Stegostoma tigrinum: one gene and its partner. The protein of the gene in region 2 purifies or fractionates together with the protein of the main gene of each other region. This does not show direct contact. Links are inferred from orthologs where the notes say so. Each region holds a gene or a part of one and is shown on either strand. Other genes may lie near its edges.

What was found. Proteins that work in one complex are often made in the same cells at the same time.
Region 1: the proteins of osbpl8 (region 2) and glg1a purify together in Homo sapiens (co-immunoprecipitation; 3 studies listed by BioGRID and IntAct, with this or other methods). This does not show direct contact. The link is inferred for Stegostoma tigrinum from reciprocal best matches to the Homo sapiens genes OSBPL8 and GLG1.

Annotation. Positions count from the first base shown.
Region 1 is NC_081369.1:11,881,128-11,884,877, reverse strand, and holds the start of glg1a (Golgi apparatus protein 1), read right to left. Parts: upstream 2,931-3,750; 5' UTR 2,906-2,930; coding exon 2,510-2,905; intron 1-2,509. UniProt on the Homo sapiens protein: Binds fibroblast growth factor and E-selectin (cell-adhesion lectin on endothelial cells mediating the binding of neutrophils).
Region 2 is NC_081371.1:62,918,312-62,922,061, reverse strand, and holds the start of osbpl8 (oxysterol-binding protein-related protein 8), read right to left. Parts: upstream 2,292-3,750; 5' UTR 2,185-2,291; exon of another isoform or gene 2,177-2,184; intron 1-2,176. UniProt on the Homo sapiens protein: Lipid transporter involved in lipid countertransport between the endoplasmic reticulum and the plasma membrane: specifically exchanges phosphatidylserine with phosphatidylinositol 4-phosphate (PI4P), delivering phosphatidylserine to the plasma membrane in exchange for PI4P, which is degraded by the SAC1/SACM1L phosphatase in the endoplasmic reticulum.

The sequences.
Region 1 (3,750 bases), on a different chromosome or scaffold from region 2:
ATTTTTGTTTTCAATTGGGCGGAACTGGCTGGCCAGCATTTATTGCCCATCCCTAACAGCAACTGTGAAGGTGGTGGTAAGCCGCCTTCTTAAACTGCTGCAATCCACATGCTGTAGGTTAACCCACAATGCACTTAGTGAGGGAATGCCAGGATTTTGAACCAGTGACAGTGAAGGAACAGTCATATTTCGAAGTCATAATGGATAGTGGCTTGGAGGGGAACTTGCAGGTGGTGGCATTCCCACATACCTGCTGCCCTTGTCATTCTGGATAGAAGTGGTCGTGGATTAGGAAGGTGCTGTCGAAGGAGCCTTCTGTTAATTTCTGCAGGGCATATTGTGGATGGTACTGTGCTAAAATTTATGAGCACTTGACTCCCTGCTAGTACTTGTGAGCAGAATGTCAAAGATCAATAAAAAAGCAAAAACAAAATATCACAGATGCTGGCAATCTGAATATAGAACAAAAAATGCTGCAAAAGGTTCAGACGAGGGGACAGTGTGAAACATACACTCTGTCTCTCTCCAACGATGCTGTCTGACCTCATCAAAAAAGACTCTTGCTGTCACGGTTCCAGCTTTCATACCAAGGCCCTAAGCAAAGTACAGTGAGAAAAATAAATATAGATGCATTGTCAGGATCAGGAGCACTGTACTCATGCCAGCGTAACTAAGCATAAAGATACGCCTGTTGTGGTTTTCTGACTGATTCAGTCTGTTATTAGCACTTCAACAGAACAGTGAAGGCCTAAAGTGCTAAGATCAATTTTAAAATGTACACAATAGTCAGCACGGAGCAACCAAGTCGCTGAGTTACACAAGTGTGTAAAACGTATAAGAATACTGCAAGATTTAGGGCAAATACAGGAGTTACTACCAAGTACAGCTCATTAGAAGAGACCAACTAAGAGGCAGCATATTGCCAATGCAGATTTTGCCCAAACACAGCTCACTATATGGACATGTTCCCCATAAACAGCTTAGAATGAGAAGCTTTGTATAGACTTGCCTGCAGTTCAGAGTGTTTAAAAATCATCACTCAGAAATTCCAACTAAAGCCTTTCTTTTTGCCTCAGTGAAAAGAGTTTTATCCAGCCTAATTTAACCTTTTCTTTCCTGGCAGACCTTTCATTGCAATATATCAGGTTGTTAGATTTCACAGCCTGGAGACAACAAATTATTAATTAAGAGGTAACAGAGTATGGAGCTGGTGGAAAACAGCAGGCCAGGCAGCATCAAAGGAGCAGGAAAGTTGAGGTTTCAGGTCAGGACCCTTCTTCAGAAAATGGGGCCCTTTTTCTGAAGAGTCCCCACCAAAATGTCAATTTTTCTGCTCCTCTGATGTTGCGTGGCCCTGTGTTCCTTCCAGCTCCATACTGTGTTCCTCTGACTCCAGCATCTGTTGCTCTTGCTATCTCTGAAATTATTGATGAAGCCATCTTCCAGATAGATTCAGTTGGACTGGGCCAAAACCACTTCTCTACCTCAACTACAACAGCAAGTATCACCTATGTGCACCATCATTACACTTTTCATCTTAATAAGGCTTCTGTCAGCTGCTGTTTAACCTTCTCTGAAACAAGGTATCATAACCCATTCAGCTATCACCAATGTTTTGACAAATACAGCACAAACATTCCAATTCTCAACACTGAGAGGTACTTTAATCTCCTCCATCCTAATACCACCACAGATAGATCATTTTGAAAAATTAGTGAATTGTAATAACATGAAAAGGGATTCTGACAGATCAGAATTAAACTAACAGTCGTAAAATCAACTGTGCCCATGTGCTATAGCCAAAGAACAAATACACTTACACAGGCACACCCCAGGTCTTTACCAATCCCTCTGGTACTCAGTGGCATATGGAGTCATCCTAGAAATTTATTTCAATTAACTGGAGGAATGTCAAGCTTTAAACATCTGCACTTGAAATTACTTTAAAATAAATTTATTTCTAAAGACTCTAACCTCCATAGGAGGCCAACAGCCCCATTATACTGTTAAGATACTAACTACGCGAAGGATTGGGCTGCAGATGAATTCAGTTTGGCTGGTGACTCCTCCCAGGAGTCCAATATTAGTCCGCAAAAAATCAGAAGCTAACCAACAAGTTTAGACGTGATCATTTGATTGTCCGCAAATGGTACTCTCCACATAAAACTGCACAATATAAAGTAAAATTGCCCAGCAAATTAAAAATGCTGGTTTCGGAATCAGAACTTGTCCGTAGGGCACCTACACACTTTGGAGATAATCTGCCGACAAACTATTCCCTCACCTTATTCAGAGCAACCTGCCAGCGATCAAAACCAATTTGATTTTCAGTGGCCGGTCAGAAACAGCTCCTGTCAACCAGGCCGTTTCCTGTCTGTTTGCTGGGGAGCGAGGATCAACAGTCAATGTGCCCCTCCTCCACCACCACCACCATCGTACCCAAAGCCAAGTGCGATACCCCAGAAAAGCCCAGTGACCAACCCCTAAGCTGCTGGACACCGCCGCTTACCTCCCGCACGTCCTGCAGACACTCGAGCACCGCGAAGTTATTCTGCCAGGTGTGTTTGGGGCAGAGACGGACCACGTCTTCGTGACACATCGGGTCCTCCGAAAGCCGCCAGATGTTCTTCCGCGGGGCCTGGAATTGGGCCTGGCCCTGTGGACGGGCCTGGAACTGAGCCTGGGGCAGACCCTGGACTTCGACCTGTCCCACGGGGCCGCCATCCTGCGGCTGGTTGTGCGCGCCCAACGCGTCCCGAACGCGGTCCGATCCTCCCTGGGCCCCACAGTGCCACGCGAGCAGGAGAGTGAGAGCCACCGCCGGCAGACAATGCGAGGCCCGCAGCCATCTCCCGTTCAAAGGTGCCCCCACCAACACCAGACTCCCACGTCCACACGCCGCCATCTTGTAACGGCAGCCGCAGCCTCTCCGCCTTTTTATAAACAGCGGCGCGGTGACGTAATGACGCACATGACGTCTTCCACGCCACACGTCTACGTCATACGTTACAGGCTTTTCCCCGCCCCCATTGGTATTGATACAGCCAACAGCAACATTGTATCTGTGGCAGCAAGTTCCACACTTTCTTCATGATGGGACAGTGACGTCGATTTTTACAGTACAGAAGGAGGTCATCCGATCCATCCTAATTCTAGACTCTCCCAACCTCGCTAAACATCCAAAGAGAATGCTGGAGGAACTCAGCAGGCCTGGCAACATCTGTGGAGAGAGAAATAAGAGTTCAAATTGCAAGTGCAGTATGACTTACCTCAGACTCCTCCCTGCATCTCATCTGTCCGGCCTTTTGAGAATTATATACGTTTCAATCAGGTCCCATCTCACCCTTCTTTCCTCCAGGGAAGACAGGCCCAGTTAAACCAATGTCTCCTCATAGAACAGACCTACTGTGCTCAATACCAGCCAAATGAATTTCCACTGTGCTCCCTCTAAGGTTAAAGTATGTCCTTCCTTAGGCAGGGAAACCAGAACTGTACATACAACTATTGGTGTGGAGTCACTAAGGACCTGCTAAAGGCTGATTATGGATAGCCAACATAGTTTTGTGCATGGGAAATCATGTCCTGCTAATTGATTGAGTTTTTTGAAGCAACAAAGAAGATTGATCAAAGCACAGCAGTGGTTGTTGTCTATAGTGATAATAAAATGTGAGGCTGGATGAACACAGCAGGCCAAGCAGCATCTCAGGAGCACAAAAGCTGACGTTTCGGGCCTAGGCCCGAAACGTCAGC
Region 2 (3,750 bases):
GGCGGGCGGGCGTGGGGCGCAATGGGAGAGGGGCGGGCGGGCGGGCGTGGGGCGCAATGGGAGAGGGGCGGGCGGGCGGGCGTGGGGCGCAATGGGAGAGGGGCGGGCGGGCGGGCGTGGGGCGCAATGGGAGAGGGGCGGGCGGGCGGGCGTGGGGCGCAATGGGAGAGGGGCGGGCGGGCGTGGGGCGCAATGGGAGAGGGGCGGGCGGGCGTGGGGCGCAATGGGAGAGGGGCGGGCGGGCGGGCGTGGGGCGCAATGGGAGAGGGGTGGGCGTGGGGCGCAATGGGAGAGGGGCGGGCGGGCGGGCGTGGGGCGCAATGGGAGAGGGGCGGGCGGGCGTGGGGCGCAATGGGAGAGGGGCGGGCGTGGGGCGCAATGGGAGAGGGGCGGGCGGGCGGGCGTGGGGCGCAATGGGAGAGGGGCGGGCGGGCGGGCGTGGGGCGCAATGGGAGAGGGGCGGGCGTGGGGCGCAATGGGAGAGGGGCGGGCGGGCAGGCGTGGGGAGCAATGGGAGAGGGGCGGGCGGGCGTGGGGCGCAATGGGAGTGGGGCGCAATGGGGTGGGGGGCGCAATGGGGGGGCGGTGCAATGGGGGGGGCGCGCAATGGGGGGGGGGCGCAATGGGGGGGGCGCAATGGGGGGGGGCGCGCAATGGGGGGGGGCGCGCAATGGGGGGGGCGCGCAATGGGGGGGGCGCGCAATGGGGGGGGCGCGCAATGGGGGGGCGCGCAATGGGGGGGCGCGCAATGGGGGGGCGGGCGCAAAGGGGGGGGCGCAAAGGGGGGGGCGCAAAGGGGGGGGCGCGCGGGCGTGGGGCGCAATCGGGGGGCGGGCGGGTGGGCGTGGGGCGCAATGGGGGGGCGGGAGGGCGGGCGGGCGTGGGGCGCAATGGGGGGGCGGGGGGGCGGGGGGGCGGGTGGGCGTGGGGCGCAATGGGGGGGCAGGCGTGGGGCGCAATGGGGGGGGCGGGCAGGCGTGGGGCGCAATGGGGGGGGGGCGGGCAGGCGTGGGGCGCAATGGGGGGGGCGGGCGGGCGGGCGTGGGGCGCAATGGGGGGGGGGGGCGGGCGGGCGGGCGTGGGGCGCAATGGGGGGGCGGGCGGGCGGGCGTGGGGCGCAATGGGGGGGCGGGCGGGCGGGCGTGGGGCACAATGGGGGGGGCGGGCGTGGGTCGCAATGGGGGGGGCGGGCGGGCGTGAGGCGCAATGGGGGGGGCGGGCGTGAGGGCGTGGGGCGCAATGGGGGGGCGGGGCGGGCGGGCGTGGGGCGCAATGGGGGGGCGGGGCGGGCGTGGGGCGCAAAAGGGGGGGCGGGCGTGGGGCGCAATGGGGGTGGGGCGCAATGGGGGTGGGGCGCAATGGGAGAGGGGGGGGCGGGTGGGTGTGGGGGGCAATGGGAGAGGGGGGGCGGGTGGGTGGGTGTGGGGGGCAATGGGAGAGGGGGGGCGGGTGGGTGGGTGTGGGGGGCAATGGGAGAGGGGGGGGCGGGTGGGTGTGGGGGGCAATGGGAGAGGGGGGGCGGGTGGGTGGGTGTGGGGGGCAATGGGAGAGGGGGGGGCGGGTGGGTGGGTGTGGGGGGCAATGGGAGAGGGGGGGGCGGGTGGGTGGGTGTGGGGGGCAATGGGAGAGGGCGGGCGGGTGGGTGGGTGTGGGGGGCAATGGACGGGGGTGTGGGGTGTGGGGGGCAATGGACGGGGGTGTGGGGGGCAATGGACGGGGGGGTGGGGGGTGGGGGGCAATGGGAGAGGGGGGGGTGGGGGGCAATGGGAGAGGGGGGGGCGGGTGGGTGGGTGTGGGGGGCAATGGGAGAGGGGGGGGCGGGTGGGTGGGTGTGGGGGGCAATGGGAGAGGGCGGGCGGGTGGGTGGGTGTGGGGGGCAATGGACGGGGGTGTGGGGTGTGGGGGGCAATGGACGGGGGGGTGGGGGGTGGGGGGTGGGGGGGGCAATGGACGGGGGGGTGGGGGGTGGGGGGTGGGAGGAGGGACTAACGGCCCGAATTCCGGGGGTGTCGACGGGGGCTGGGTGCCCCTGTCTGCGATCTCGAAACCCGGCCCGGACCCTCACTAAGTCGATAAGTACCCCTCTTCACCCGCCCGGCCGTCTCTATCTATCTACCTATCTATCTATCTATCTATATCTCTCTCTCTCCCCTATCTCCTATCTCCAACTCCTCACCTTCTCACCTCCTCGTCCACTTCTCACTCACTCCATGGCCGCTCCGATCCGGCTCGAGCTCTGCTCTGTTGCTCCTTCAGCTACTTGTTTCGCCTGATCTCGCACCCCGCCCATTCCAGATCATTCACTCACGATCCATTGAGCAGCCTGGTCCCAAGCGCTGCCCCAGCTTGATCCACGCAGCCTGGTCTTCCCATCCTGACATGGTCCTCCCAGGCACGCTTTCGTTGCACTTGAGCTCCCGCCCCCAGAAGGAGTTAACTTTAGTATTTTGTTGAAACATGTTTGGGAAAGACATCCGAGGTTTGAGGGTGCATGAGAAATAATTATGTCAAAAACAATATATGAGAGACGGAGATGAGGGAGACGAGAAAGGGACAGAGTGAAGGTGGGCGTGAGGGTGGGGCAGACTTTCGGGTCGGGTGAGAATGTCAGGGTGTGGGGATTGAGGATTGCGGGGACAAGGCAGGAGAATGGAATTGACAAACCTATTAGTCATGATTGTTTAGCACAACAGACTCAATGGGCCAAATGGCCTACTCTGCGATCTTACGGTCTTCTGTTTGGGGGTCAGGATGAGGTTGCGGTCTGCTGGTGTCATTCCCTCAAATACTGGTCTTGATAGACACCAAAAAGGCAGTCACAGAGGATAAAACAAAAAATTACATTGGAAGTGTTTCAAATCCAATATGGCTTTACCAGGTTGATACTTCAGGTATCAGAGATAATGGGAACTGCAGATGCTGGAGAATCCAAGACAACAAAATGCGAGCCTGGATGAACACAGCAGGCCAAGCTGCATCTCAGGAGCACAAAAGCTGACGTTTCGGTCCTAGACACTTCATCAGAGAGGGGGATGGGGTGAGGGAACTGGAATAAATAGGGAGAGAGGGGGAGGCGGACCGAAGATGGAGAGAAAAGAAGATAGGTGGAGAGAGTATAGGTGGGGAGGTAGGGAGGGGATAGGTCAGTCCAGGGAAGATGGACAGGTCAAGGAGGTGGGATGAGGTTAGTAGGTAGATGGGGGTGCGGCTTGGGGTGGGAGGAAGGGATGGGTGAGAGGAAGAACAGGTTAGGGAGGCGGAGACAGGTTGGACTGGTTTTGGGATGCAGTGGGTGGAGTGGAGGAGCTGGGCTGGTTGTGTGGTGCTGTGGGGGGAGGGGACGAACTGGGCTGGTTTAGGGATGCAGTTGGGGAAGGGGAGATTTTGAAACTGGTGAAGTCCACATTGATACCATATGGCTGCAGGGTTCCCAGGCGGAATATGAGTTGCTGTTCCTGCAACCTTCGGTGGCATCATTGTGGCAGTGCAGGAGGCCCATGATGGACATGTCATCTAATACTTCAGGTATACTTCAGGTATGCCTGGTGCTGCTCCTGGCATATCCTCCTGCAGTCTCCGTTGAACCAGGGTTGATTCTCTGGATTGATGTTAATGGTTGTTTAGGGAATATGCCATGCCATGAGGTTTCAGATTGTGAGTACAGTTCTGATGCTGTTGATGATCCACACCACTTCATGGCTGCCCAGTCTTCAGTTGCTAGATCTGTTTGAAGCTTGTCCCATTTCGTGT